3 linked regions of the Caenorhabditis elegans genome follow. The main gene of each other region encodes a partner of the protein of the gene in region 3 in a complex. Each region holds a gene or a part of one and is shown on either strand. Other genes may lie near its edges. A codon is read from its position in the direction of its gene.

Evidence for each region.
Region 1: the proteins of kap-1 (region 3) and klp-11 are in contact, whole or in part, in a crystal structure (PDB 9IKB), measured with the Caenorhabditis elegans proteins. Residues at the interface, in NP_001367739.1 of Caenorhabditis elegans: Pro155, Gln156, Thr159, Ser197, Lys198, Phe199, Ser200, Cys201, His203, Thr263, Asn264, Thr267, Ile269, Lys304, Leu307, Lys308, Ile311, Phe312, Met345, Phe348, Asn349, Phe352, Lys378, Asn381, Tyr384, Leu385, Cys388, Asp390, Lys393, Glu416; in NP_001369897.1 of Caenorhabditis elegans: Phe567 (codon at 4,395), Pro569 (codon at 4,389), Lys644 (codon at 4,074), Arg645 (codon at 4,071), Leu646 (codon at 4,068), Val647 (codon at 3,495), Ala648 (codon at 3,492), Thr649 (codon at 3,489), Pro650 (codon at 3,486), Cys652 (codon at 3,480), Arg653 (codon at 3,477), Arg654 (codon at 3,474), Pro655 (codon at 3,471), Met656 (codon at 3,468), Ser657 (codon at 3,465), Met658 (codon at 3,462), Cys659 (codon at 3,459), Glu660 (codon at 3,456), Ile679 (codon at 3,399), Val686 (codon at 2,885), Glu687 (codon at 2,882), Ala688 (codon at 2,879), Thr689 (codon at 2,876), Ile690 (codon at 2,873), Ile695 (codon at 2,858), Arg696 (codon at 2,855), Phe697 (codon at 2,852), Cys698 (codon at 2,849), Gly699 (codon at 2,846), Glu700 (codon at 2,843).
Region 2: the proteins of kap-1 (region 3) and klp-20 are in contact, whole or in part, in a crystal structure (PDB 9IKB), measured with the Caenorhabditis elegans proteins. Residues at the interface, in NP_001367739.1 of Caenorhabditis elegans: Ile269, Glu272, Leu273, Val276, Arg277, Leu309, Ser310, Ile311, Phe312, Asp313, Glu314, Asn315, Lys316, Asn349, Phe350, Phe352, Asp353, Lys657, Ala660, Gly661, Arg663, Phe664, Lys665, His667, Asn668, Gln670, Trp671, Met674, Val675, Asp679; in NP_497178.1 of Caenorhabditis elegans: Tyr557 (codon at 2,128), Ile558 (codon at 2,125), Pro559 (codon at 2,122), Val560 (codon at 2,119), His562 (codon at 2,113), Leu565 (codon at 2,104), Ile566 (codon at 2,101), Tyr569 (codon at 2,092), Lys582 (codon at 2,053), Ile584 (codon at 2,047), Ala585 (codon at 2,044), Tyr586 (codon at 2,041), Gln607 (codon at 1,591), Met611 (codon at 1,579), Tyr612 (codon at 1,576), Tyr613, Ser614, Tyr615, Arg616, Leu619, Ala621, Ser622, Thr623, Ala624.

The regions. Positions count from the first base shown.
Region 1 is NC_003282.8:8,754,755-8,765,050, forward strand, and holds klp-11 (Kinesin-like protein), read right to left. Parts: upstream 7,313-10,296; 5' UTR 7,243-7,312; coding exon 7,198-7,242; intron 6,652-7,197; coding exon 6,596-6,651; intron 6,547-6,595; coding exon 6,442-6,546; intron 6,303-6,441; coding exon 6,053-6,302; intron 6,010-6,052; coding exon 5,917-6,009; intron 5,865-5,916; coding exon 5,794-5,864; intron 5,743-5,793; coding exon 4,782-5,742; intron 4,731-4,781; coding exon 4,633-4,730; intron 4,415-4,632; coding exon 4,272-4,414; intron 4,182-4,271; coding exon 4,066-4,181; intron 3,496-4,065; coding exon 3,393-3,495; intron 2,900-3,392; coding exon 2,754-2,899; intron 2,472-2,753; coding exon 2,383-2,471; intron 2,054-2,382; coding exon 1,981-2,053; downstream 1-1,980. Other genes in the region: elli-1 (Enlarged germline granules protein 1), read right to left, coding at 1-58; F20C5.11 (uncharacterized protein), read right to left, coding at 526-703, 779-1,165, 1,215-1,382, 1,685-1,881, 1,931-1,966; cdc-50.B (Cell cycle control protein 50A), read left to right, coding at 10,126-10,183, 10,231-10,296.
Region 2 is NC_003281.10:218,493-228,989, reverse strand, and holds klp-20 (Kinesin-like protein klp-20), read right to left. Parts: upstream 7,575-10,497; 5' UTR 7,572-7,574; coding exon 7,434-7,571; intron 7,373-7,433; coding exon 7,258-7,372; intron 6,928-7,257; coding exon 6,783-6,927; intron 6,107-6,782; coding exon 5,996-6,106; intron 5,935-5,995; coding exon 5,855-5,934; intron 5,799-5,854; coding exon 5,476-5,798; intron 5,158-5,475; exon of another isoform or gene 5,108-5,157; intron 5,087-5,107; coding exon 4,915-5,086; intron 4,865-4,914; coding exon 4,657-4,864; intron 3,653-4,656; coding exon 3,310-3,652; intron 2,162-3,309; coding exon 1,988-2,161; intron 1,601-1,987; coding exon 1,509-1,600; intron 1,464-1,508; coding exon 1,424-1,463; 3' UTR 1,415-1,423; intron 374-1,414; 3' UTR 175-373; downstream 1-174. UniProt on the Caenorhabditis elegans protein: Component of the kinesin II motor complex (composed of kap-1 and the heterodimeric motor proteins klp-11 and klp-20) which is required for intraflagellar transport (IFT).
Region 3 is NC_003281.10:7,335,539-7,345,367, reverse strand, and holds kap-1 (Kinesin-associated protein), read right to left. Parts: upstream 6,368-9,829; coding exon 6,298-6,367; intron 6,234-6,297; coding exon 6,161-6,233; intron 5,715-6,160; coding exon 5,477-5,714; intron 5,122-5,476; coding exon 5,010-5,121; intron 4,918-5,009; coding exon 4,772-4,917; intron 4,719-4,771; coding exon 4,580-4,718; intron 4,534-4,579; coding exon 4,446-4,533; intron 4,316-4,445; coding exon 3,961-4,315; intron 3,611-3,960; coding exon 3,392-3,610; intron 3,306-3,391; coding exon 3,181-3,305; intron 3,135-3,180; coding exon 2,932-3,134; intron 2,546-2,931; coding exon 2,478-2,545; intron 2,431-2,477; coding exon 2,230-2,430; intron 1,900-2,229; coding exon 1,795-1,899; downstream 1-1,794. Other genes in the region: F08F8.6 (uncharacterized protein), read right to left, coding at 1-49, 98-147, 404-496, 542-641, 970-1,170, 1,559-1,597; gsp-2 (Serine/threonine-protein phosphatase PP1-beta), read right to left, coding at 7,179-7,301, 7,531-7,665, 7,713-7,826, 7,876-8,090, 8,149-8,379, 8,506-8,637, 8,694-8,745.

The sequences.
Region 1 (10,296 bases), on a different chromosome or scaffold from region 3:
TCATATCCTTTTCTTTATTAGTTGGCTTAGCCTTGCGGCCACGTTTACCATTTGACATTATAGTTACCTGAAAATTCAAAAAATTAGATATTCAAAAAGGTATAAATATAATATAAATGCGATTTGGTAAATACGGATGTAATGGGCAACCCATTCTATACAGGAAAACCAAAAAATTCCCGCAAAATTATTTTTTTCCGAATAAAATGATCTACTTTGTTTTATGGTGCCGCTCTATGTGTTATGACCCTTCGATTAGTAGATAGAAAAGAAAAAGGAATGTACGAGAATATCGTTTATTATTTATTATTTGAAAAATCCCAGAGACATAAAAAATCACACAGAAAAGGGAAACAGTATTTCTGACAATGTTCAAAAGTTTGGTTTCAATCAGCACTAATAATGTGAAAGGTAACCGTATCAATAGTGATATTTTCTTATTAAAAAACTGTTCGAGACTACAAGAAGGCCTGAAAAAGCCCGCAACGACGACTAAATTCGAAATTTCGAATTAGGTTTTAAAGATCAGAAGATCGGCAGAAAAGTATCTGATAAAAATATAAGAAATCGGAATAGGAATGCGATGAGGAGGTAGAAATATGGTGAAGAGATACAGAAGAATGAGGTAAGATCGGATGAACTTGAAGCACTTTTTGAGATTTTTGATGGTGAAGTTGGTGGATGTAGACGTTTCATGGAACATCTGAAAATTAAGATTTTTCTAAAACACATTTTCTATAGAATATAATAGAATGCCAAATAGAGAAACTAGACTTACTTGAATTTCTTTCGATTTCTGTCTTTCAACCTTCTAACTGAAATCAACTTTCGACGTGTTCTCGGTGTTTCAACAACACCATCAACAGAACACTCAGCACCAAATTCAGCATCGGAATCATCAGAAGAAGACTCATCGGAATCCAAATAGAAATTGGATTTAGTATTCATCAATTCAAAAGAATCCAATGATACTGTCGATTCAGCAAGTTGGACTGAACTTGATGGTTGACTACGAACCCATTGAGGGCGTCGAGGCAGAAGTCGAGAGTATGAGGATGCAACGTGGATTGATGATGACGTCAACAATCTTTGGTGTTGAGATGAAGAAGTGGCTGATGCAGATGTTGACAGACGGAATGGAGATGAGTGAAGAGCAAGAAGACATCTGAAAATTTGAAACGTTGTTTATGTGGACAGTACTGTAAAGATCTTACCTTGGATCATAACTACTTGCCCTCTGTTTTCTCTTCTCTTGACTTCTACTTAAAAGCATTTCCGTCTCGATTCTCCGGTTACTTGAAAATCCAACTCCAGAATTTTCAGCACAAAGCTGCTCTCCCGAACCGTAGACTGTTGCACCACGTTGAGGGGTTGACAAGGATCTGAAATCAGATGTTTAAAGCATGGCAAGTAGAGCAACAATGTTAACCAAAATTTCTGAAACTTTTTCGAATATAGTCAAAAATTGACAATAACTCAGTTTCACCTATCATAGTTTTGGAAGTCAACCAAAAATTTTTGAAATTTCATAAAAATTCCAAACTTTCTAAAAATTTGGAAGATTGATATGATTGATATGAAAGTATTTATATATTTTTTAACCTGGCAGACGATACTTCACCATTAAAGACACACATGTGGAGAAGAATTATTTTACTTTTAGTAATCCAACGTTTGCACTTACCTTGGAGCATGCAAGCTTTTAGTCATTAAAGCTGGAATTCTAGATGGAGTTCTTCTTGGTGTCGACATTGTTGAAATAAACATTCGTGGTTCATTGATTGATGATGACGTCATAGAACCACGCCCAGATGACAATGGATTACGGTAGTCATCAGAATCAGTAGATTCATTCAATTTTCTAGTCATTTCTTCTGTTTTCTGGAAAATTAAATTTTAATTAAAGATCTAACAAAAATCTGGCACTTACATTAATAAGATAATCAACATATTCTAACTCATTCATCGTTTCATTATTTTCTAATTCTGGCTTCTTCTCATCGAACCGTTCGGTGGCATTGTGTCGTTGCGGGCTTGACCGTTTTTTGAATTTCTGAAATGTTTTTCATGCAATTTTTGTTCTTATTTGTGTGTCATATACAGTGAAAATCAAAAACTAGTACAAACTAATTCCGTTTAGTAAATAAAAAATCGATGTAAAATCTCAGCAAAGCCAAGATCTTGGCGGGTCCTTATATCCAAGTTTTGTTGCCATTTTATTTCAGATATTCTTTTCGAAAGTCAGAAAATTTGAATTTAGAATCGAATGGACCCATTTCTTGTTTTTTTTTGTTGCATTTTTTAACTGTACTTTTTTCGTCAGCATATATTTTCACTATTAAAACAGAATATTCATGACAATAATTCCACAAAAAAACGTACTTTAATATCATAGTCGATTGGTTCAGAATTGGAACGAGAACCTTCGACGCGTCGATTGTCAGATTCTCGATTGATGGACGACGTGCTGACTGAAAATTTCTGGATTGAAAAAATATTCAAATGAAAAAATAAATGAGAAACTCAAAGTCTAAAAAATGAATGTTGTTAATAACGAATATTTCTGATGAGAAGAGGATAGAGAAAAAAAACGAGTCTAATAAAATGCATGTGATATCCTGCATAAAAATCCCTTCTTTTTTCACTAATCCTTCGCTCAATTCATTCAAATAGAACTTTGATTTCTATTAGAGTTGAGGTTGTTTGAACAATTTTAATAAATTAACAATAAGCCATAAAACCTCGAAACGTACCATCATCATTGAGTTTGAAAAAGTGGACGGATCCGAGTCAGTCACCTCTGGAACAAATCGTTCCAGAGCACTGAAAACGACAACGTTCTCCCCACAGAATCGGATTGTCTCCTCGGGAATTGTCGCCTCGACAAACGATCCTGAACCTGAAAATTTTCGATTTTTGTAAGCTCAATGGATTTTAAACTGAAAATGTAGTCAAGAAGTCAAGAAAAACTGATGGAGTTCTAAATTCGGTGTTAGGTTTTGAAAAGATCGTCAAACAAACAAATGCATAAAACTAGGTAGGGAACAAATAGTGAAATAGAAAAATGAAAGGCGACAACTGCCGGGAGCAAGAGTACACACAAAGAAAAAAAGTTGCGGAAGAGCACAGAGAGCGTCAGTCCATCAGAACTGCATAGATAAATAGATAAAGAGAAACATGAAACATAAGGCCACCCGGGAGAGACGACAGGCCAGTTTTCCGGTGAAGATGAGAGTGCGAGAATTAGATAAGAAAACGGAAATTGTGATGAAACTTTTTCAATCCAAACTTCTAGAATTATAAGAGACACCTAAAGTAATTAGATAAGTGTTTTAAGTGATATTTTAGATTCACTGTATCATGTTTAAAAAAGATATTTCAAAAATATATACCTGATATAGGAGGCCTCCTCTGAGCACCGAATTGTTCTCGAGCTGTTTCCACGAGCATCCGCTCACACATTGACATAGGCCGTCGACAGCCAGGAGTTGCCACCTGAATAAATAATTATTCAATTTAAACCTAATTTAGTAATGGTAACTTTGTAAATGATGGTGGATAGCTCATATAAAATTTGAATTGGTTCTAAAGTTATACAAATTTTAATTTCGGTCAAACTTATGAACTGTACTTTTGAGTTATACTATTACAATAATATTACCCAAATTATTGTATTCAGATTTTTGTAATCAGTACTAACAGATTTTAGGCAACGTCCTGCCAGAAACATGGGAATATATTTGAGCAGTTTTTAGTAAGTTGCCACAGCTTGTATAAGGGAATTGTATCAAAATGTACTTAATACTTTCTAAGCACTGACATAGTGAACTACAAAAGTCGGTATTATACAATGCCACTACAAATAAAAATATTCAGAATTCGACTGAAAAATGAGAAAAGGAACAACTGAATTGGACACACGATGTCGTGATTTTCAAGAACACAAAAAAAAGAAAAAGAAATCGAAAATGTTGTTTGCCTCTTTTTCTTTTTCTATATGAGCTAGAATCTCGAATGCATGCCTAATGGAGCCACTCGCTCTCGTTTCTCTAAGTCTCTTCTCACCAGTCTTTTGTCCAAAAATTGCGATGTCGCAGGCGTCCCGTTTCCGCCGCTCACGGAGACACCACTATCGGCACCAGATGATCGTGTAAAGACACCGTCTTCGTTGACTTCAATTGCTGAAATAAGAGGAATTAGTTTTGAATTGGAAATCTGATTAAATAAAAGTCCCCTATTCAATCTAATTAATTTTTAAACACAAAACTTACTATTGTTTAATGGTGTTGACGAATTAGAAGAAGTTGATTGAAATGCGTTAACATTCCATTCAAAGCTATCTTCATTCCATTCTGCTCGTTCTTTTATCCTTTCACTCACGTCTCGAGGGATGAAGTTTTCAACAATAAGAAGCCTGAAAACTTATATTATTCTATTAAAAAAAATGAACATCAAATCCTAACGAAAGAAAATTCTTCTGGGGGGAAAAGGAGAGAATTGTGAGAATAAAGAACCTGCGCTGTCGGTATCAAATTACACTATTTGAATTCAAATTAGAATACGAAAGAAAGTGAAAGAAATGAAAATGAGTGAGAATCTATTAAATTGTAATTGAGATATCACTGAACTTACTTCAACTTCAATTCCTTGCTCACTTCCGCAATTGTCTGATCCAGATCTTGTCGTTCGTCGGAATATGCTCCAGACACATCACGAATCTCATTGCGAGCCTGAAACATTCACAAACCTTATCTTGACACCTGGTACATCTGAAGTCAAACCTGTCTCAACTTTATCAACATCTTCTTTAACTTTTTTGTCTTTGCCTCCACCTCTGTCCTTAAATCCGAAAATGTTTGTTTCAAATCCACAGTATCCTCTTCCTGCCGTTCCAATGCTTCAACCATTTCTCTTTCCCTTCGTTTTTGTTCGGCAAGTTCTCTTCTCTTCTTTTCCAGTTGTGCATGTTGTTCTTTTGTCCTTGATTCTAACCTTCCATCTTCTTCAGATCCTACGATAAGTCGACTTTGAATGTTTGCTATTCTTTCAGCAACCCGTGCTTGTTCTATCCGTTCCTTTTCTAACAGATCATGCTTCTCTTGAATTTCTCTTATTAATCGATCCTTTTCATGTTTTATCAGTGAATCATCTTTTTGAATTGCTTCAATATCATCTTCAAGTTTTGCTCGTTCAGCATCATAAAAACTTTGAGTTGCTCCATCCCTCGATCTTGTCTTTCTCTGCTTCAGTTGCTCACGGAGCATTTCAATTTCTTCTTGGAATTCTCGCAGTAAAGCATCCTTAGGATCTTCATTAATTTTCGGTTGATTCTTGATGTTTTTAGCTCGATTTGCATATCGTAATGTACCAAGTGTCTCCTCAAAATTGTAACTTGCAGGTCCAATACAAGCAACCATAACTGTCTTTGAATTTCCACCGAGAGAATCTTGAAGAAGTCGAGTCAGTTTTGAATCTCGATAAGGAATATGGGCAGATTTCGCATCCACCAATGCACTGATTACATTTCCAAGAGCCGATAATGAAAGATTGATTTTCGTAGCTTCTTTAAATCTTTCGCCAGTTGCTCCTGTTTTCGATTGCCGTTCTGAACCAGCTAAATCTACAAGATTTAGTCGACCAACTGTAATATGACTTTCTCCGTCTTCACCAATTCGGGAACATTCAACAGTAATGATAAAGATAGCGTGGGAACGAGACGAATGCTCATTCATGTTGGTTCGCCTGAAAATTTTAGTAAAATCAAATCCAACGGCGACCACAGAAATAACTTACCCTACAGACCGATGCCCATTTCCTCGAATCATCACTTCGTGTATTTCACCTACTGTCCTTGTTAATTTTGACTGAAACTTTGAAATTTATAGTCGTCTTCTATTTCAGAAAACTATCACTTACCGTTAAATCTTTCACATAAACTCCTCCATCTGGACGTTCTTTAATTTCTAATTTCTTATTCGATTCGGCTTCTAATAAATCTCGAAGTTCCTCCTAAAGATTTCATTTTTGTAAATCACACATCCTAACGCCTTACCTGATAAATTTCCAAATAGCTAGCTCTAACTAAATACTCTTGATTATGTGATGCTGCCATGTGCTCAAAAATATGGTCAATACACTTATAGATGACACCTCGTTGTTCTGGATCCGATGATTTTCCTTCCATTGTGTGAGTCTTTCCAGTTCCAGTTTGACCATATGCAAAAATCGTGGCATTATATCCGTTTAGAACCGAATCAACTAGATCTCGAAAGGTTTCTTCATATAGATCCGATTGTGTGGAACTATAAAATATATATTTTTAAAAAAGAGAACTCATAAAATCATAAACATAAAATTGTGGAGAAATAATTTTGAAAAATACTAATATTTCTATAGCAGGTGAAAAAAAAGTGATGTACTCCTAGAAATAAATAATCTTACTTTTCATCATAAATTGCATCGAATGTAAAATCCTTCGATGGCTCATCTTGCTCTTTTGGATTTTTCAGCTCAATTTGCCCACGTTGTGGTCGCATATGTACTATTCTGAAAATGATCGAAATTTCAAAATATAAATATTTCAAACTTTACTTACTTTGAATAATTATTTGCAATTTCTTGTGAAGATAACGGTCGACATCTCACAATTACCTGTAAACATAAATAAATACATTTATTTGAATTTGGAAATGTATAAAACTGGATTATGAAATTTTTAAGCTGGTGGTTTTTGTATGAGAAGTAACGAAAAAAAGTACAATTTACTTAGAGTCTTGTGATTTTTCTTTCAAATGCAAAACTCAACTGAATCATAAATAGTGATGCTTCGAAAAGTTTTTAGAGGAAAATTGTATTTTTAGTAAAAACTAATATACGTTTTGGACTTAAAAAAAAATTATGTTAAAACTTGAAAAATTACGTTTATTAGTGCTTATATTAAAATACGGTTTCAAATTAATTTAAAATTAAAATAACTCACCTTTTGGTCAAAATCAGACATTTTAGAAACTAGCATGTACTTTATTACGTTGAATATAACTTATGTTGGAAAATGGAAAATTTGAAGACAGGTGAATTTTAGTTTTTTTTCTTTTTCGTACTTCTAAAAAATACTTCATTTATTTTACATTTTGAGAACTAATTTTTGAACATGTTTCGAACAAAAAAAAAGATTTTGAAAACCCCAAAAAAACTTACTTTGACAGTCTCCTGTTTTGAAGATTTTTTCATTATTTCCACCATTTTTTGTCACTAAATATTTGGCTATCAATGTAGGTGTCAAGGAAAATTTTGGTGCATTCCTGATTTAGTGAGAGTGGTCTGGAACTTAAGAAGATTAGTTTAATGTGGAAAAATAATCATATTGTATCGAGAAACGGAATTTTGAAGCAATAACCGCTAGAGAAAGTGACTAAAAACCAGAAATTGTAGTCGTGGAATTTCAATATTTTTGGTTTTATGTCACATCTGGACAATCGGAAAAATATGCATACATTTGAAATTTTTAGAAATATTTTGAATTAACTTTAAAGGAAAAAAATGCATTAAAAAGATTGAAAACATCATTGACGTTGAAAAATGGAGAAAATTTCTAATTTCTCATCAAAATATTAAAATATTAAAGTTCTTCAATAATATGAAAATGTGAATAAAATGTCTAAATAAGCAAAAAAAACAGATCCTATTCATTATAAAATGTTCACACAAGTGTTACATTTCGTACAAAGAAGTACTAAAACGGATGGACTAAAGTAATATTGTCACTCCCGAAAAGACGAGGAAGAAGTAATCGGAAGAAGATGTCGGAAGATGAGTGATAGTAAAAATACGAAGAGACGCAGATAGAGAGTTTGAGAGAAGGAGACTTCTGGAGGAATAAAAGGTGGTTTCAAGATGGGGGACAGAGAGGGAGAGGGTTAAAAGAGCACAAAATGTGCATAATATCGATCCTGCGCAGTTGAGAGACGCAGACAATGTGAAGAATGGAGCATATGTTTCTAGTGAACACTCAGAAGTAGTTGTTCATGTGTCCGAAACTTTGGAAACATATACATTTTAAACTTGACGTTTTTGAATTATAAAGGGATGGAGGTGCTTCAAAAAGTAATCATAGACATGTGTAGATTTTAAATTAAAACACAACTAGACATAGGATGAATCAGAAGCTTACCATAACATTGTTGATTTATTTAAAAATGAGAAAAAGTAAAATTCCGGATAGTCTTCTTTGAAAAAATTCACAGAGAAGTTATAATGTTTGATGATATTCACTGATTTGTAATACATTATTAGTAGCATGGCTTCTATGTATATAGACTATTTTTATATCACATACATGAAAAAGGGTTAAGGCATGCGCCAGGGCCTGAAAACGCATCTACCTACCAGGGGAGCTCTAGCTCTTAGTTATTAATTCAAGAGACTTTTGAAACTTGATTTTTTGAGATTTTATTCAATGATTGGTTTAAAAAAAAAGATTATTTGCAAAAATTACAAATTTTAATGTCTATACTCTGACATCGGTTTAGAACAATTTTAGACAGGCTGCAATGAAAGCAATGAAATAAAATTTCCTTGAAATTATAATAGAGAATCAGTAAAATGTTGCAGATTATTTGAAAATGCATGCAAGAATTCGCAGAAAATTCAGTGAAGCAGAAAAGTGCGACAGGAGACCGAAGTCTAAAAAAGTGAATTATGAATAAAAACAAATCATGTGACTGGATATAATTGAAGGTCTTGATTCGGAAAAGATAATTGGAGCTCTTTGCTTAGGCCAGGCTCTAGATATTTTATTGAAGCTTTTCAGAAATGTTCAAAATTATCAGGAACAGTTCTCTTTGCACTTTCTCTATGGCTCAACTACCAGGGCTTTTCCTTTTTCTTCAAAAAGTAGAATTTTAAATTATAATTTTAAAATTTAAATACCAAGCAAAAAATCATATACTCATCATATCATGTGATCATATCATATAATCATATAGGGCTCGTTCTTTTTTTTTTCAAAAAATTAAAAATTTACTAGAACCAAGCATATGACAATAAAATATTTTGAATTCACTTTAATGGGAAAAAAACAAGAAAATTTCATTAACATTATTGAAAACATCGTTGGCAATAGGAATGTAGAAAATCAAATCAAAATCAAGTGAGATTAGGAAAGAATCGAAATTAGGTAGAATTGGAAAATCTCGATTTTTTAAGTTGGATTCTTACACGATTTTTTCGGGATATTTTTCATTTTTATTTTGTAGTATTTCAGCCTAGACGGCTGAGAATTCTTTTCAAACCTTCCAATTTCAAAGAGATTCTTCCATAATTTAATATAATTTTCATTCGATATTAGCATCCATTATATACGTATGATTCCCCTTTTAAAATCGATTCTCCTTTTCAACTGACTCATCACTTAAGAATTGTTGAGTCATCAACTGATAGTGAGCAGACACCAACAACCATCTCTTTAGTTTCCGTTCCGTTTATTTTATTTTGGAATCTAACATATTCAAGAAAATTAACTTGAAATTAGAATAAATGTTTCTTGCTAGATTTTTTTGTCATAAGTATTTCTTATTTGGATTATAATTTTCATCTCGAAATCGTAGAGAGTTTTTCACTATTTTTTTTTGAGTTCTAAACACTTCCTTCCTCATCGATGATGAAGTTTTTGACAAATCAACTAGTTTTTTACTCATATCTCACATCAATCTATGATTTTATTCAAAAACAGTTAAATTTTTTTAACGAAATTAAAATGGTCATCGGACCGAGCAAAAGCTTTCAGAATCAACTGCTTCTTTAAATTCTTTAAAATTCAATCAACTTTTCGTGTCCAAAGTCACAAACTACACCTTTCAAAAAATATTTCTACATTATTTGCCCACATCTTGGCACAGTTTTCTTGCCATTCTTCAATATTTTCTTCTCTGCGTTTCCCACACTCTTATTTTCTGACTGTTGACTTTTCCATTGTATAGACTCAATTTTACTTTCGTTTTTTCAATTTTTTTTTCTGCGAAGTTCGGTGTTAAACCTCCATTTTGCAATATTAAAAATTTCAATATTGCCCGTTTTGGCTTGAATCTATTAAAATTATGCTGTTTTTTTTTCAGAAAGCACCAAAACATGCCAGATGATATTCCAAAATTGCCACGACACAGAGGAAAGAAAAATCAGCCGAAAGGTTTGAAAAATTTAGAAAAATCTGAAGTTACTTTTTTAATTCTTTAGACACACCTTGGAAACAACAAAAACTGCCTGCTTTACGGCCTCATTATAACATAACTTCAGCAATTC
Region 2 (10,497 bases), 7.1 Mb from region 3:
TTGACTGACGCAAGTGAGCCCCATCTGAGTGGGTTGAAGCCGAAATTCGTCAAATTTGTAGTACAAAAAAGTACAAAAATTCTTCCCTTCTGACTTTACGCGTCGAAAATTTCCATGTTTTTCATCAAATTTTCTTCGATTTTTCGTAATTTTTTATAGTTATACGATATATACTAAAGGTATGACCAGATTTATCGAAAAAGTACGTGGCACACGTGGCACAGGCAAAATACAGCAGAAAATGGCAAAGTACACAGAAAAATTGGAAGCCAAAAGGGAGTGGAGGTGCTCGGGGAGCTGCTGGCAAAAAGTGGGCGGAGCCAAAAGATGTCACTGCAAATTCAGCGTAACATTGATGGAGATGAATATGTACCTGAATTTAGTGTATTACGAGTATGAAAATTTTGAAAAATTTAGAAAAAAATACGTCAAGAAAAATTAATTTTGAATTCGTCATTTTTTGTGACAAAAATTTTTTTTTTGGAAAATTTTTTTGTCAGTCATTTTTTTCTTGAAAACATTTTTTGCTACAAGCTGAAACTAATTTTGTCAAATGCACAATTTTTTGAGCTTTCAGAAAAGTATAAATACTATTGGCTCCGCCCACTTTTTGGGGAACAAAATTTGAAAAAAATCAGAGAAAAATTTAATGAACAACTTTTTTTTTTCCAAAATATGAAAAAAAAAAAATTCAAGAAAATAAAAATTTCGGCTTGTAGTTTGTAGTTTGTAGTTTGTAGTTTTTAGTCAGCATTTTGTAGTTTGTAATTTTTAAAGCTTACAATTACAGGCTTCGCCCTTTTTTATTAGGGGAAAATTTGAAAAAAAATCGAATTAAATTTTCCCCGAAAATTTAGGAAATCCAAAAAAAGTTGAAATTATGATTTGTAGTTTTTAGTGTGTATTTTGTAGTCTAATATTCGTAGTTTGTAGTTTTAGAAGAATGTAAGTTAGGCTCCGCCCACTTTTTGGCTAACAAGTTAGGAAAAATCAAAACAAAAATCGAATCAAAAACTTTTTTTTCCAAAATTTGAAATTCCAAGAAAATAAAAAATCCGGTTTGTAGTTTGTAGTTTGTAGTCTGTACCATGTAGTTTGCAGCTTTCAAAAAAGGTACTAGGCTCCGCCCACCTTTTTCTTTGTCAAAAAATCAGATTTTTTCAACTTTTTTCTCAAAAGTTGAATATGCCAAGATAGTGAAAGCTATGATTTATAGTTTGTAGTTTGTAGTTTTAATTTTGTAGTTTGTAGTTTGCAACAATTTCCTAAAAATAGAAAACCTGTAAGCTCCGCCCACTTAATGGCAGAGTTTGGAAAATAATTTCTCAAATTTTGGGTCAGAAACTTACCCCAAAACTGAGAAGTTTTTCAGTCAAATTAAAATTTGTAGTTTGTAGTTTATAGTCTAGCTCACCTGTACCAGTTATGTGAGCAATTGTTGTAGTCGAATTGATGCTCGATGTCTGCAAAAAAATCTATAAATAATAAAATCAATCGGTTTTACAAACTTTTTGGAGCTCGTCCGTGGCCTGTGCTCGGCGGTTGATGCACCAAGATCTGCACGATACGAGTAGTACATTGGCACCGTTTGGTTGTTGTTCTGGAAATATTTGGTTACTTGAAATGTACAGCAATCGATAGAAAATCAAATTCTAAACCATTTTGTAGTTCAAAGTTTTTCGATAGCTCCTCTCCTTGCGGAGTTATGCCCCTTCAAAGTTTGAGCGGCGAGAGAGTGTGGGAGGGGGAGAGGCGCAGCGTGCGCGCGCCGTCTGCGTCTCCCCCTCCCCCGCACTCTCTTGCCGCAAAAACTTTGAAAGGGCGTAACTCCGCGGGGAGAGACGCTAGAAAAAAATTTTCAACTAATAAAATGTGCAAAATTTTAAAGCCTATAACTTCTGATAGCTCTGCTAGTTGTTGAAAATATGAGAAAATGTAAATTGTTCGAAATGCAAGTTAAAAACGTAAATTAAAACTGAAAACCAACCGAAAACTCCTTCTTAGCCGGCGGCGCGGAGGCTCTCATATTATTTCCAGTATAGGCAATTGCTTTGAGCTGCCAATCTCCGTGCTCCTCACTCCAACTGACATATTTCTCAATTAGCTCCACGTGCTCCACCGGAATGTACTCATCGATTATGGCAATATTTAGTAGGAGCTCCTGAAAATGGATTGACTGTTAAAATTTAAAATTTTCAATTTTTCATCGAAAATCATAAAGTTGGAATTCTTAAACAGAAAAAAAATGTCAAAAATTTTTTTTTCAAAAATGTAAAATGAACTTTGTGAATTCTTGAGTTTTTCAGTAAAATTTGTAATCATAAAATCTTGAAACCCCACGTGGTGCCAGGCTGTCTCATTACGGTTTGATCTACAAAAAATGCGGGAATTTTTCGCCTAAAAAAATGTGGCGTCAGAACGCTTTTAATCATGCGAAATCAGTTGAGAACTCTGCGTCTCTCCCGCATTTTTTGTAGATCTACGTAGATCAAGCCAGAATGGGACAGTCTGACACCACGTGAAAGCCTCGATTTTCAGAAAATTCAATAAAATTGCTATTTTTCCAACGGGGAAATCCTGAGGTTTCATGGTACATCCTAAAACTCGGTTAAGCCTAAAAAGGGGCGGGGCCTAAGTAGGTGATCCTAAAAAATTATATTTATTTTTCTAGACAAAAATTAAAAAAAAAATATTAGGAAGAAAAACATTTTTCGTAAAAATCTGGGAAAATTTTTTAAAAATCCAAAAAAGTGTTTTCGAAAAATCAAAAAAAAAAGTGGGCGTGGCCTAAGAAAGTGGCGGAGCTTAAATATTTATAATTATACTTTTTTAGAAGCTATATTCAATTTTGAAGTTATTTTTGAAATTTGAGTAAAAAACTTTTTTGACGAAAAAAAAATCTGAAATTTTTTTTAATCCTAAAAAGTGGGTGTGGTCTAAGAAAGGGGCGGAGCTTAAATATTTATAATTATACTTTTTTAGAAGCTCTGTTTGATTTAGAAGTTTGAAAAAAAAAACTTCTTTGACGAAAACTAGTTCTGGAAAATTTTTCAAAAAAAAAGTTTTCGTAAATTCAAAAAAAAAGTGGGCGGGTCTTAACAAAGGGGCGGAGCTTAAATACTTAAAATTGTACTTTTTGAGACGTTCTATTCGATTTTAAAATTATTTTCGAAAATTTAGAAAAAAAAATTTCACAAAAAAATCTGGACAAATTTTTTTAAGTTCAAAAAAAAAAATTTTTTTTAATTTTTAAAAATCTATTTTTGACTTTTTTTTCAACTTTTTTCAAATTTCTAAAAAATCACTAACTTTTCTCAACTGGCGAATATCATCCAACATAGCTTCCACCTGCCTCTGATGGTCCTCTTCCAAATCCTTAAGCTCCGCTCGAGCATCCTTCAGCTCATTGCTAACTTTTTTGATTTTCTTGGATTTTACAAAGGCTTCCTCTTGTAAAGATGAATACCTCTCCTCAATTTCCACTTTTACAGCCGTCCGTTCTTCCAATTGAGTTCTGAGGTGGGCCTCCTGGAATTTGGATTGCTCCAGCTCTTTGTTGTTCACTTCTAGAAGTTTCGCTTGCTCCTCGACTTTTTCCAGTAAGTTTTCACCTCCCACAATAAGCTTTTTCTCGATTTTTTCTAGCTTTGATCTGAAAACAATAAAAAATTCATAATTTTTCGTTTTTTTTGCAAAAAACCACAAAATCTCAAATTCCAGCAGTGCTATCAAAAAAGTTATAATAGGCAAATTGTAGCCCTTAAAATTTCCCACATTTTGTCAATAGAAAACTTTTTTACATCTCTTCTCCGCGCTGAGTAACACCGCTTTAAAAATTGAGAGCTGAGAGAGTGTGGGAGGGGGAGAGACGCAGTGTGCGCGCGCCGTCTGCGTCTCCCCTCGCCTACACTCTTTTGCCGCACGAACTTTGAAACGGCGTAACTACGCAGGAAGTAGAGCTGGAAAAAAGTTTTCAACTGACAAAATGTGGGAAATGTTAAGGGCTATTTTGGTAGGTCGTGTAGTTTTTGACATTTAAGAAATTTTCCACCACAATTGTGTTTTTTTAAATCTTTTTTTGGAGTTTTTCCGTAAAATAAGTAAAAATTGGTAAATTAAAGATACATTAGCCTTTTTTAAAAATATTTTTAGTTTGTTATCAAAAACTTGTGGAATTTCTTTTTTCTGAAGACTTGCAATTGTTTTAAAACTTTTTCTCAAAAATTGTCAACAATTTTTTGCGAAATATCTTCAAATTTTAACTTTTTGAGATTTGAGAATTCTTAAAATATATTAAAACTCATCAGAAAACAAAAAAAGTGTGAAAAAAAAAGTAAAAAATCATAAAACCTCCCCAAAATTACATTCAATCGATAGAAAATAAAATTCTAACCATTTTTCCTTTTGGAAATTTCTCAAAAGCTTGATTTCTCGTTGAGTTATGCCCTTTCAAAGATCGAGCGGCGAGATAGTGTGGTGGTGGGGAGACGCAGACGGCGCGCGCACACTGCGTCTCGCCTCTCCCCACACTCTCTCGCTGTGCAATCTTCAGTGGGGCATATCTCCGCGGAGAATTGAGCTATCAAAAAACTTTCAACGGCAAAAATGTTCAGAATTTAATTTTCTGCACTTTGTACAAATTTTCATATTTCTCACCTCAATTTCTCATGCTCACTCCTAGCTTTTTTCAATTCCGCCTCATTCTCCATCATCTCCTTCACCAATCGATGCGTCTCCTCATCGTTAACCGCCGAATTGACCCGTTCCTCCAGAATTTTCCGCTTTTTCTCCATTTCCACCTCCCTTTCCTGCATTTTCGCTTCCCAGGCCTCTTCTTGATTCTCATCGTCGCCGGGATTTTCTTCTGAAAAACCGAAAAAAAAATTCAGATTTTCAAATAATTTTATGGCTTACCATCCAATATTTTACGCAAAGCCTCAATTTCCAGCTGAAACTTCCTGAGCTGAGCATCCTTGGGATCTTCGTTGATTTTCGCGACGTTTTGAATATTCTTCGCACGATTTGCGTATCTCAGCGTGGAAAGCGTCTCGTCATAATTGTACGTGGCAGGCCCAACGTTTGCAATCTGAAAACTTTCAAATTTTGATAGAAAATTAAATTCTCTACATTTTTGCAATTAAAAATTTTCTCATAGCTCCTCTCCCCCGCGGAGTTATGCAGCTTTGAAGTTTGCGCGGCGAGAGAGCGTAGGGGGAGGGAAGACGCAGGCGGCGCGCGCACACTGCGTCTCCCCTCAACCCACACTCTTTTGCCGCAAGAACTTTGAAAGGGCATATCTCCGCGGGGAGTAGTGCTAGAAAAAAGTTTTCAACTAACAAAATATGGCAAATTTCAAGGGCTATATGTTCTAGGTTGTAAATTTTTGATAGCAATCAGCTCTAAGGAGTTATGTGAGTCAAGGGAGTCTAGGTACTGTGAAACTGTTCAAAAACCTAAAAACCTAAAACCACTCACCATTACAGTCTTCGAATTCCCGCCCAACGAATCCTGCAACAACCGCGTCAACTTTGAGTTTCTATACGGAATATGCGTTGACTTCCCATCCACCAGCGAGCTTATCACATTACCCAACGTGCTCAAGCTCAGATTAATCTTCGCCGCCTCCTTCAACCGCTCTCCTTGTGCTCCAGTTTTGCTCTGGCGCTCTGAGCCGGCCAGATCGACAAGCTGAAGCTTTCCCTGGGTCACCAGGCCATTCCGGCAGGATTCAATGGTTACCGTGAACATTGCATGGGATCGGGAGGATTCCAAATTCATCGCCGTGGCGCCAACTTTTCCTGAAAATCATATCAAAGTTTATATTTTTCAGCCAATTTTTGTCAGAAAAACTCACGATTTTTGCTGCCAAACTCCATCAGTGCCTGCATCTTCGAGGCATTCTCCACAGTAGGGTTCGACAGGTTTCTGACGTAGCTGGAAATTTGGAATTTTTAAAATTTTAAAAATTTTCAGTAGTTTTCAGGCAAAAACTTACACGCCAACATCCGGTCTTTCCTTAATCTCCAGATTCCCGTTGTGATCCTTGGAAAGGAGGTCTCGAATCTCTTCGTTGTAGATTTCAAGGTAGGATACGCGGACGAGGAATCTAAAAATTTGTGTTATTTGATAGAAAATAAAGTTTTAAACATTTTTGCAGTTGAAATTTTTTCGATAGCTTCTCTCACCGCTGAGTTACGCCCCTTCAAAGTTTGCTGGGCGAGAGAGTGTGGGAGGGGGAGAGACGCAGGGTGTGCGCGCCATCTGCGTCTCTCCCCCTCCCACACTCCCTCGCCGGCGAAACTTCAACGCCGCATAACTCGCCGGAAAATGTAGTTATCAAGAAACTTTTTATTGCAAAGTTAATCAGAATTTAATTTTGTATCAATTAGAAATCTTCTGATGCTCTGAAGCATGTTTTTCAATTAAAAATATATTTTCCAAATGTTCGAAGTTTATCAAATTTACAGTGAATAGGTAGAAAATAAAATTCTGAACATTTTCGCAGTTGGAACCTTTCTAGCTTTCCTTTCCGTGGAGTTATGTCTCTTCAAAGTTTTCTGGGCGAGAGAGTGTGGGAAAGGGAGAGACGCAGACGACACGCACACACTGTGTCTCCCCTCAACCCACACTCTCTCGGCATCCAAACTTCAAAGCCGCGTATCTCCGCAAAAAACAAAGCTATCGAAAAGTTTTCAAGTACAAAAATGTTTCAAATTTTATTTTCTACCAGGATTCTATATTTTTAAGACACTTTTCCTCCCAATTTTCAAGCAAAAACCCACGTTGTATCATGCTGGCACTTTGCGATGTGATCAAAAATGTGTGCAAATGAATTTGGAATTATTCCACGCATCTCGACGGGCTCCAAGTCCCCAGCCATTGTGAAGGTCTTACCAGTCCCTGTTTGACCATACGCGAAGATTGTGCCTGAAAATGAATTTGAGATTTTTTACAGATAAATTTTTAGAATTAGTCGATAAAAAATTAAATTCTACATATTTTTGCCGTTGAAACCTTTTTGATAGCTCAACTCCCCGCGGAGTTATGCCCTGTCAATGAATTTGTGGAGAGAGAGTGGGAGAGGGGGAGAGACGCAGGCGGCATGCGCACACTGCGTCTCCCCTCCATCCACACTCTCTCGCCTCGCAAACTTCTAAGCTGCATAACTCCGCAGGGAATTGAGCTATCAAAAAGGTTTCAACTACAAAAATGTTCAGAATTTCATTTTCTATCGATTACCCACATCAAGCCACTCACCGTTATACCCCTTGAGCACATTCTCCACAATGGGTCTCGCCGCGACGTTATACACCGTCATTTGATCCGTATTCGGGGAGAAAACAGCGTCAAAGTAAAAAGTTCGTGGGGGATCCTGGAAAATTCGAACAAATTAAGGCTCTATAAAATACAATCTGAAATAAATCAGGGCGTACCTCCTGGCTCAGGCTCTTAATATTCACAGCCTTCTCCTCATCGTTACAGGTGACTGCAATTTTATGTCCTTGAAGTTTCTCTGTGGTGGATATTGGACGACATCGTACCACTACTTTCACTTTTTCAGCACCTTCCATTGTCTGAAAAATGGGGAAAAAATTAGCGGGAAATTCAAATTTTTCAGAAAAAAAATTATAAAATCAACGCATTTGAATTTGAAATCAAACAAAGTTTCGAAAAAAAAATTGAAAAATGGCTGAAAATTTCAGAGATTTGAAAATAAAAAAAATAAAATTTTACCGCGAAATTATAGAGTCGAGAAAATTTCAGATTAAAGCAAAGTTTAAATTTTGAACTTTTGAAAAAAATTTGGCTATAAATTTCCAAAATTTTTCGAAAAATTCAAAAAATTAAAATTTTTAGTCTATTTTAAGCTAAGCAAGGAAGGGGAGGAGCTTAGTCAACAAGGTAGATCAAAAATAAATTATGAGAAATTTGTGCGATCGTATTTTTTCGATAATAAAATAATATTAAAATTTCGAAATGCCAAAAATTTTTTTTTTATTCTAAAAATTTCAGCATCAACTTCAAACAGGGGTAAGAATAGAAAAATTTAAAAAAAAAACATTGCAGCTAAAATAGAAATTTTCAAAATTATAATTTTGACGGAAAATTCAAAAATTCGGCACCAAATTCAAACTTCGAACATTTTCAATATTTTGTTCAATTATTTCATTAAAAAACGTACTTTTCAGTGGGAAAATTCAATCTAAACAGTTCTTGAAATTTGACTCTAAATCTTCAAAATCAACCCAAAATCCCAAAAAAAAATTTCCAAACATTCTCAGAAAAAGTCAGGTTTTTCTAATACAATGTAAAAGTAGCCTCAAAACTTGAGCAGCATAGTAGTAGTAAAATGACCAGTTGTCCCCGGAAACCAATAGAGAGTGTAACAGCCGTGAGAGACGCAGGGACACCCAGAAAAAGACAGAGGAAGGGAGAGTATGTAGGGGAAAGGAGAGACGCAGAGAGTGAGCCGAGGGTGTCCACTAAATGGGGGTTCTAGTAGCCGTCTGGTATCGAATTTTAGTGCAGAGAGGGGACATCCTGGCATATAGGCACAAAGATTGGCTGCGAAGAAACCAAAAAAACCCGAGTTTCAACATTTTTCAAAATGGATAAAAACTAAAATTTTAGAAAAATAAACAGAAAATTAAATTCTAAACACATTTGTATTTGGAATTTTTCCAACAGCTTGATTTTCAGCGGAGTTATGTAGATTTTAAGTTTGAGAGGCGAGAGAGTGTGGGGAGAGGAGAGACGCAGTGTGCGCGCCGCCTGCGTCTCTCCTCCACCCACACTCTCTCGCCTCGCAAACTTCAAAGCTGCATAACTCCGCGGGGAATTGAGCTATCAATAAGTTTCCAATTACAAAAATGTTTAGAATTGTATTTTCTATCGATTTACTGTGTTTTTGGAGGGTCCCGTCTGTTCCACACTTCCGGAATGTACGTCACTTTGAGGCTGTGATGTTTAACTAAATTTTTGGGAAATTAAATTTGCGCTAAGCACTTTGAATAATGAAAAAACAGAACAACAAAAGCTAATGGAAAATGGAAATACAAAGGTCGAAAATTTCAAATTTTAGAAGAAAATTTGCAGATTTTTTTTTCAGAAGTTACATGATTTTTTTTTTCATTTTTTCGCATTTTTAGGCTTAAAATTGAAAATGTTGTAAAAAATGTTGCGAAAACTGTCCAATTTTCGGAGCAAAAATCTCCAAATTTTGACCTAAAAACTTAAAATTTTAAAGATAAATTAAATACATTTTTAGGCTAAAATAATTTATTCTTTAGGAACAAATTTAGCTAAATTTTCCACTTTTCAAGCTTATTTGCTCAATTTTTAGGGCAGACCTCTTCATGTTTTAGACAAAAATTATGCAATTTTTATGCTGAAATAGTCCAATTTTCAGGCTAAAATTATCTAATTTTTAGACTGAAATTATGCATTTCTTAGGCTAAAATTATCCAATTTTTATGCTGAAATTATCCTATTTTCAGACTGAAATCTCTACTTTTTATGCTAAAATTATCTGATTGTTAAGGTAAAAATATTCATTTTTTAGGTTCAAATTAACCAATTTTCAGGCTAACATTATCCAATTTTATGCTGAAATTTTTACTTTTAAGGCTAAACTTAATTAATTTTCTAGTGTAAAACTCGAAATTTAAACTAAAACATTTCAATTTTCAAGTTGAATTTTTCAATTTTTTAGGCCAGCATACTCACATTTCTCCCCAAATTTCCAAAATATTTTACTCGAAAATTCTCCAACAAAAGCTACAGTGCACTCTCCCGCTCAAAGCCCAAAAAATCTCAAAAACAAAAAATGCTCAATTAGTATGATTTTTCTTCTGTATTTACAAATAAGATTGACCCCCAACAAATCGTATAGTCAAGAGGAAAAAATATGCCAAAAAAAAAAAAATTGAGAAGGAAATGATCATCGTGAGAAAAATATAGTGTCTTCTTTTATTTTTTTTGTTCTATTATTATTATTACTACTATTACTATTTCATATTTTGACACTTTTGGTGCTTTAATTTTTTTAGATTTTTCAGATTTTTTTAACCCAAAACTTGTGAAAACCTAAAAAAAAAACTGTCTCAGAAAAATGTGAAAAAATTTTTTTTTTGAATTTTTAGGCAAAAATCCAGCCAAATTTTTGCAGTTTTTTTAGCAGATATGAGAAAAAACCCAGTGCTGGATCTAAAATTTTTACGCCTGCCTTGCGCCTAGGTAGGCATGCAGGCCTGCCGGAGGCAGGCGCTCACCTACTCAAATCTACAATGGGAAAATTTAGCAAAAAAGCATTTTTTAAGGGGTTTCCGACTAGAAATTTCCAATTTTGAGATTTTTTTTCAGCGGTGTTGAAATTGACAACACATTTTGCTCACTGGAATAAATTTCGAAATAATTTAAGGTTTTTCTTAAATTTGTTTGCAAATATTTTAAACGAAATTATCAATTCGGTTTTTAAAAAATTCAGCGGTACTGAAA
Region 3 (9,829 bases):
TCTCCTTTGGTGTCTTCTGTAAGCTGAGCATGGCCGATTTTGGAGCAGGCTGAAAATTGATTGAAATGAATGAAAACACTCGAGTGAACATACAAACCTCTTCAATAGTTCCAAGTGTCATAGTCTTCGATTTACGAGTATCTTCATCTGAAAATTGATTTCGATTATTTGCAAGAAATAGACAGACACTTCACCAGTCCCTTTCCTTCTGCCTACCTAATACTTACTTCACACCTGCCTGCGTACGTGTCCACCTCATCCCTACATCTTACGGCTTTGCCGACTTGCACAACCCCCCTCAATACCTACTCCCTGTCTATCTGACCACCAGGGCAACCAAGTTGCTGGTTGCCGAAAATTGGAGCGTATGGCAACTAAACAATAACCGAGTTCTGATTCTTACCTCCCATCGTGTCATAAACACGTTCAATATCAGATGGTGGAAATGTGACATCTTCTGGATATCGATTATCTTTTTTTCCTGGTTTTGTTTCCTCTGAAATAATGAATTTTGGAGAGACAGATACAGAGAAAGACATACGTTTTTGTCCATTTGTCGAGTAGTTCACATTGACAGAACCCAAATGATTAGGATGACAGATTTGTTTGCAGATTTCGATTGGAAGGAGAATTTGCAACGCCTGAAACTAGTAAAATTAAATAACTTTTTATGAAAACTTTTCTATCATAATTTGGGGCATTGACCAAAACCAATTTTTTCTAAAAATAACCTTATCGAATGTTTATTTTTGTATCGGAACATTATAGAAGTTCGAAACTACAGTTTATTCGTTAGTTTTTCATCATTTGACTTGAGAGTCGTGATAGTACTTCAGAGACTCTTCGGATATCTACAGTAACCTACAAGTGTATTGTATGTGTGAATATAATGTTTTGTAGAAGTATCCAAAAGAGAGGTGTTCAATTCACAACTATCGAAAAGGGCAATTTCTGAAGAGTTGAACTTGCCTCGTCAATCAAATCGATGATTGCATTATCCAAATCCTGTATCGTACTCCATAGTTGAAATGCGTTGAAAACCGAGTAAATGGTACTCAACAACGCGATGAAGCAAAGTGCAGAAGCTACAATCCATAATCCAAGTGCCAGTTTATTATAATGAAAATATTCACACTGGTGTTGCTTGAGTAAGTTATCGATCGTTGTTGTCTGAAAATCCGATTAACATGAGAACTGCTAATGAGGTTCCCAGCCACGATGCAACTAGATTCCACTTCAAATTAAACGTGTCAAGTATTAAGAAACCATCGGTGCATGAGAATGTCTACTTTCTGGCGCGAAAATGGCGGCAGGAGAGATTCTTCGGATATCTAGAGTAATCTAATTGTAAGAACATGCGGCGATGAGAATTTAGGTACCTTCGCTACGAGATATTCCCGCGCCAAAACGGTAGGCATTCTCATGATCTCATGGTCTCTTAATAATTTCTCTTATTTTCTTCTGTGGCATTTTTGAGTCCTAGACTCTTTCAAGTACTATATGTGTCCCCATTCACTCCACCTTTAAGATTCACAAGATTGAAAGTTTCACAACTTACCGAAATTATTGCAGTTGTAACATTTGAAGAATTGTTCATTTTTGAATAAAATGAAGCAGTCACTTCGAGGAATGAAACACTAAATGTGAAACACTACATGGCCAGAGAAAATTTGACCTTTCAAAAGATAAATATTTATACGTGAATTTTGTTTTAATTTTTTGCATATAAATCAAAACATTCATTTATTAAGTAAAAATATATAATTTGTAGGTTAAAAAAACAACAAACAAAAGTTAAAAAAGGGGCTCATTCATATCAAATCCATCATCATAGTGATCAAATTTGAGATCAGCTCCAAAATCTTCATCATCGTAATCTACGAATTCGCTGTCGTCTCGCTGGAAAAACGATTTTTAACCGGTGACTTTAGAGCCTATATTAATGTAATGTAACTCAAGCTGCATTACTGCTATCCTGTTTCTACCGTAACACTCACCGTAAACTACTAAATAGATTCATTTAAAGTAATGATGTTTTTGATACATATTTTTAACGGGATAGTCAGAGTGTCTTCGTTTTTGAAAGTATTTTTATACAGAAATAAAACTAGGAAATGCTAGTGACGTTAAATTTCCAAAACCTTGTATAGTATATTTGTATAGTGACCAGTATCATAATATTATTTGTACCAATCAACGAATAAATTGTTAAAATAACTACGATCATACCTCAACCATCTCCAACCATTGTGCATTGTGCCATTTGAATCTCTCTCCAGCTATCCGTTTTGCCCATTCTTTTGAATGTTCACCCATTATCAAAAGGGCATTATCGCAAACTTCTCGAACCACTGCGTTTGCATCGTGCATCAAATCGATCATATGGGCTCCGAGAGCTGAATCTTGAGTCATCAGGCGAGCAGATAGTTCCTTTGAAAAATTTATATGAGAGTTGAAAAAACTCTAAAACGTTATACCTTGTGCTTTAAAAATTGCAAGAAAACGTAGAGAAGTTGCACAACAAACTCATCATCAATTTGGCATGCTGAAAAAAAGATTGCGATATTTTTCAGTAATTTATTTGTATTCTCGATACACCCAAAAAAGATCAAAATGACACCAGTAAAACACTTCAAAAACGTTAGATTTTAAAAAAGATTTAGCTGAAGATTTGTTAATTTGCCAATTACTTCCAAAAATATGTACTTTTTGAGTAATTTTGAACATTTTTACATGTTCGATTTCCTAGAATGTTCAAATACAATTGAAACACAACTAGTTTCAATAATTTCCATTTTGTAATTTACCAACTGGCAAAGCTCCACCTTTAAATCTGATTGTGAGGAAAAATGAACTTTTATGTTTTCAAAAGTTACTGGGGTTTTATTATGAAACAAACTCTTAAAAAATAACTTAAATTTATGAACGTACATTGTAATAACTGCACAAATGTATCAATCAAAGGAGCCAATAACCTAGCTGCATCCAATTGCCTAGCCATTGTTCCACAAGCAATTACAATTTGTAGTTGGAGAGGTTTTATGTCTCGAAGTACTGTCACTTCTTCGGATTCATCAATTCCTTCTTGAAGTTGAGTTTTCATCCAAGGAACAAGATTTTCAGATTGAATTATTCTATAATTTAAGTTTTTGATTGGAATTCCGAACTCAAAAAGCTCACTTTGCCCACGGAGCAACTTTGAGCTCAGCAACTGTACCCATGCATTCTAAACCAAATGAAGATTTTGACTCTGAGTTGTCTGCTCCTTCATTTTTTGCAATCCCGATAAGAGTTTCAATCCACTTCTGAAAATTCTAAATTTAAATAACAACGTTCATTTTTTTTCGTTATCTATTTTCACCGTTCAATAATAATTCAGTTCTCAACTTACCAAAAACATATTCTGCGTCGCACCTTCGTGACTTGAAATCGCTCGAACAACCTTTATGAGCATTAGATCTCTCGAGTTGATAGACATTTCCATAAGAAGATCTAATCCTTGACCACGTTGTCCACATACCAACTGAGCATTTCGTTTTTCGAGGCAAATATTCAACAGGACTGCTTTTGTCACTTCACTTCCTGTTCCACTTAGCACATCTTTCATTAGCTGGAAAAATGTTTTTTTATGAATCATATCCTCGTAGCAAACGTTGGAAAAATCGGTGACTATTTGCTATGTGGCGTTATATTTAGGTTTAACAAAACATAGACCCGAGGTAAGTAGATTTTGTCTGAATTGCTATTTCAATAATGTTCAAACAATTTCAAAAAAAACAATTGATTCACAAATAAAGTAGCTCAAACGACAACCACTATTCGAATGCAAACTTGAAAATAATATCAAAAAATTTGAAAAGTTTTAGTATAGGATTGGTTTTTAACAATTTTCCACTTGCGTTTTTCCATCTTTAATGTATAGTAACTTTTCGACTATCTCCTTTGATTGACCCAACTCACCAATTTAATAGCATCGGTGTATGCTAACATTGCTTTTGCATCATCATTACAACTTAATAAATACATCATATTCAATGCCTTCGTGTCACTGTCCAATAGAGATGCCATATGTGGTACAAGACCTCCATTCACCATTTTTGGTAGATTTTTGGAGTCAAATGAAAAATTGAAAAGAAGCATTATAACTGCTTTTCGCAGTTCTGGATCTTGAATTGGAAATAGTTTCAAAAGTTTTTCGATTGTTCCATTTTGTTCCATTACAATCTTATTTTCATCAAAAATACTTAATTTAAGAAGAAACTTGATAGTTGCAGTTGTTAGTGAACTTGTAGATTCTGATGACATTTGGAGGCATCTAGAAATGTAAAATGAGTGAATGTGGTGTTAATTATTAAAGGTGGAGAGATTAAAAAAAACTGTGAAAAGTGTTACTATGATATTTCAGCATTTTACAATTTCCTCACTAACTGCGCCTTTAAACTCACTTGACAAGAAGTGCCACCAAATTTCTTCGGACCATTTTCAATTCGACACTGATATCCGTGGCTAGATTGGTAAGAAAAGTGACACATGCTGGAATTGAACCATTTTCAATGTAATATGTACAATTGCAACAAACCTGCCAATAGCATCGCCTGTTTTCGAATGGCTGTTTTTAGTTTTCTCAATGTCTCTTGATCCGTCTTTTTCATCTCAGCAATCCAAAAATCGTACCGTTTTGTTTCATGTTCCATTGCATTTACACATAAAGTACCAATCTGCAAATCTAGCTTTTAAACGAAATTCAGGTGAAGTGAAGGCGTTTAGAAACCATGCATGCCTTGTGATGAAGCAGAATTCCGTGTAAACATGAAAACTTGGAAATATTCACAAAAAGGTTCATAATATTGGTTCCAACTTCAAAGTGTTTCTTCCAGTCTTCTCGGAATACTCTTGCCAGTGCCATCATAAGAGTTTCTGAAATGTAGTGTTATTTGAACGTTAACTTTAATACATAGATTACGTCCGAAAATTATGGTCATCGGGTAAGCTTTTCTAGAATTACCTACCATTGTTCACAAGCTGTGTGAGGTTTTGAGGATTTTTTGAAAGTTCATAAAGTGCCACGGCTCCTTTGTTTTTCTCAACAGAAGTTTCACCGTAGAAGCATTCTATGTACTCCTGAAAGATACATTTTTAATTTCAAAAGTAGTTTTTCAAGTTCTATTTGGTTTTAGGCTCTCACCATAATAAGAAATCTGTTTTTATATAAATGTTGAATGATGTATAGAAAACCATTCAAAGATTATTTTAAACTAATCAGATTATTTTCGAAATAAATTTTTAGATTCTAAAATATTGGTACTACCGGATACAAAAGCACTCAAGCGAGCTTGGTTTTGTTTCAGCTGCTCCATTTTAGAACATGTAACAATTAATGTTTTCAATTTTGATATAGCCTATGCGTATTTGTAAAATAAAACCAAATGCTCCTCAACTTTACGTAATCTACAAAATGTTTTCTTATAAAACGTACATCTATTTTCCCTAATTCTGCACTAATTGTAGGACTATGAATAGGCCTTCGATCAAATGAAACGGCCGAAGAACTTCTTGATCTCGCACTTATTCGTTGATTTCCTCTTTTTTGAATGTAGAACAAAACCTGCTCCAATTGACTTCGTGACGTGGCAGGAATGAAAAGACATTTTTGAAGAATAACATTTGATAAAGCACGAATATCTACATCCAGACTCATTTCTTTCAAGTGGATTCTGTAATACAATTTGGGTAATTTTGTAGCCGTACAATGTTAGATGCAGGTGACATTTTGAGGTTCTCATATATATATATATTCGATTATTATTTTTTATCAGTTATTTTCCAATATTCTAAAAATTAAAGAGGCATGGATTCATGGGGAATGGGTCTCACAGCGAGCAAAATGCTCAAGTCAACACTTTTTGCTATTTTCGGTCGTGCGTTTTCTGTTATTCGGGGTTTTGTGAGCAATTATTAAATAACTTTTCTGTATCTTGATTGTGGTTTTTGCAACAGAAAAAATTTAAAGTGTTACCATAAACATTTTTCGCGGTGAGACCCATCCGAAAGAATACGTGCACCTTCGTGGGCATACGGTCTTAAAAATATTTTATTTTATTTTTCTTGTTAAGCAGATTTGCATTCCAGTTTAATTTTATATTTTATATCAGATTCTTACATTTTTTGATGGCCAAGAGACTCAACGTTCGCTGAAGAAGCTCGCTTTTTTATTGAAATTCCTGCTGAAGAACCTGAATCAAACTTCCAAATAATCTTCGTAACACATTCAATTGAAAATAAAAATATAAAACTTACTAGGAGATTGTTCAAATCGTACAATAATTGCCTGATCTGACGGGTGTGCATCTATTGAAACTTGATTCATTGAGCTAAACACGGAAAATCAATCGAAAAAACTCAAAAAATATTTCTCTTCATTCTGATTACCTATTATAGCTTACTGAAGAGCCGGGGCGGAGCATTTCTGAATAACTGACAAACGACAGAAATCGATGAGACGGCTCGAGGAGCACTAGTCGTGGGGGATGTCTGTTCGTCTCGCACGCTCTCCTTGGAGACGTTGCACTCGTTGTAATAAGAAATATTGCTTACACGCTTGTACCAGTGTTCTATTTTATTTGTTCGGAAAACTTTAATGAATTAAATCGACAAATGGGGGTTTTAACAATATAAAATTGAGAAACGAAGAGTACGGGATGGACGAATGAATGGAGGAAGGAAAGGAGTGGAGATTGATTGACATCATAAACATTTGTTTTAAATATTTAGACCATTTAGAGAAGTAAAATTTGATACTGTTTTAAGAGATAAGTTTAGCAAAAAAAATTAAAATTTGGAATTTAAAAACGAATAAAATGGGGATTGTTTTGATGAAAAATTGAGCCAGCAATTGGTGAGGAGTCATTAGCTCTAAATGGTCCACAGAGATAAAGAGGAAGGGATGTTGACAACGAAAGCTTGAATTGAGAGGAGATTCGCCGGGACCACAGCATCTTCTCGTGCCAGCCTAGATCATAATGAATCGAATTTAAACTTTTTCGAAACTATGTTTAAAATCAAAATTAATGTACACAACTTTTTGAAGCCGATTTACGAGAGATGGCCGAGGCCTCTTGGGGCGTGAACAACAAAGAAAAGGTTAGGTATTTACAGATGATAGATAAATCGACTGATGATTACTTCTTGGCACCCTTCTTTGGTTGCGCAGCCGGTGCGTTTCGTGGTGGGGTGACTGGTCTATTTGAACCAACTCCTCCAGCACCATATGGATATTTCTTCTTGTCTGCTGGTTTCAAGATCTGAAAAAAATATTCCGAATTGTTTTATTTTAATGTTTGATAGGTAGTTTTAGCGTTTAATAAATCACCTCAGACAAATGCCTCAATTTCACCCCGCTTAGCGGCAATTTCTTCGAAGAACTCGAATAGATAGCCAAAATAGACTCGTCTGATTTAACCATTGCATCATTGGTGAATGCATACGCATTATCAGTATTTAAAATTATATAGATGGTACCGCTATGTTTACCTGGAAAGAGCACATCAGTGTTTCATCGACAGTCATCATCGATCCCGCGTTATCAAACTCTCCACAATAATTAGGAGCGCTGAACAATGTAACCAACTGCCGCTTAGCGAAGAATTCGTAACCGTCTTCCACAACCTGAAAATTTCTCGGTTCGCAACTTTGCAGAAAATCTTAAGTAATACCTGGTGAGCTCTGCAAATCAAATCCAAATCGTGCTTGTGCAGGAATTTGGCAACAACTTCTGGTCCGAAAGTGAAAGAGACGCCTCGGTCGTTTTCTCCCCAGCCAGTGACATCCTGAAAATAAATGGTAATCATTCATTGAATTTTATGTTCACAAACGAACTTTATCAGGATCTGACCACAACAGATCGCACAACAATCCTTGATCTGGTACGTCTGTCGGCCTCATGATACGACGAATTTGCTCCATAGACTGAAGATCTGGAGAAAGTCCTCCGTGACAGCAGAAGATCTTTTCGTCGATGATGGCGGCAACTGGCAGGCAGTTAAAGCAATCGGTGAACGTCTTCCACAGTTTGATGTTGTATCGCCGCTTGCCTAAAAACATGAGATTTGAATAAATCTGTACTAAGATAATCTCAGATCAAACTCTTACACTCGTCATAGAAGCCATAAATTCTGTTGATCGAGGCACACTCGTGGTTTCCTCGGAGCAGGAAGAAATTTTCCGGGTACTTGATTTTATATGCAAGTAGGAGACAGATAGTTTCCAACGATTGTTTCCCTCGGTCCACATAATCGCCGAGGAACAAGTAGTTCGACTCTGGGGGGAATCCACCATACTCGAACAGTCTCAAAAGATCGTAGTATTGTCCGTGCACGTCACCTGAAAAATATATTTTCTCAGAATATATATTATCAAAAATAAAAACGGCAATTTCCTGTGGAAGGAAATACTAATAAGTAAAATGACTCATAGCAGGAAACGTCAACTTTTTTCGATAGAACTTACCGCAAATTTTCAACGGAGCTTCCAACTCGAGAAGAATAGGTTGGCTCAGAAAAATTTCACGAGACTTCTGGCACAACCCCTTGATCTCGCTCTCTGTGAGTTGAACATTTTTCCCTGGTTTGGATCCTCTGACTGAAGCGGAAATCATTTTAAGATTAATTTCAATAAACACTATGACAAACACATACCTTCCAATAATCTGGAGATGATATTGTCCAGATTAAGCTTTTCTACGTCCATTTGTTGCGAGAAATCGCTCAAACAACCCAATTAGATCTGCAATACGAATAGAATTACCTCTTTGAGATAATGTCAATCAACAAACGTGAAAATACGGAAAATTTAGAAAGAAAGTTTGATAATTACGTCTTTAAATCGCGTGATTACTCGAAAAGTTGATAAAAACAGCAGCAAACATGTCAAAAATCGAAAGATATTTGGAGGCGACAGGGTCAAAACGAATGAAAAGAGTGGCGGGTCTCGCCGCGAAAATGCCGCATTCAGCAGGGTACGGTGGCCGGTGGAGCGCTTTTACATGTTCTCATTTTTTCTGAATTTATCCGCTAATTTAATGATTTTGAATCTGTTTTTCTACATTTTTTCTTCTTGTTAAAATTAAAAAAAAGGGGACGTTCAAATTTTCAGAACTTCATTAGTATTGAATTGAAAAAGAGCGCGCGAAAAGGATTAACTTGGTTAGAGGGCTTTGAAAGTTGAATTTTACATTGAGGAAAATATTTCTACCATTATTTAGAAGATAAAGCTTAAAGTTTCTCTTTTCCCTGAAATTTTCACTATTTGTCAAAAACGGGGCACATATAATCGAATGATGCGCCAATTCGTCACTTTGTTTTCGACCAAGATGGCAGAGAAATTGGTTGGTGGTGAGAGATTGAAATGTGTAAATATAACAAATACACTGTTCTTCGTTCACGATTTGTCAGCAATTATGATCAGATGCAAAAACATGGGGAACAAGATGCATTAAATCTTATTAAGTGAAAGTTTAATAGATGAAAACGTAGTTATAAGAAGTTTATTTAGCATATTTTGATAAAACTTTTACTTATGAATCATTTTGAAATATGAGATTATTATAGTACTCAAAAGTTATATATTATTTAGCTAGAAATATATGAACACTTTGGTACTTCTGCATCCATGAATTCGTTCAGAAAATATATTGAAGCATTAGTTAGAAAATGAGCAGTGAGCATTTAAAAAAATCGATTGATGTCTAGTCAAGTTCAATAAGAAATAAGAAAAAAGAAAAATAGTTGGAGTGAGAAAAATCAGCAAAAAAGATGCGAGAAGTGTGGTGCTC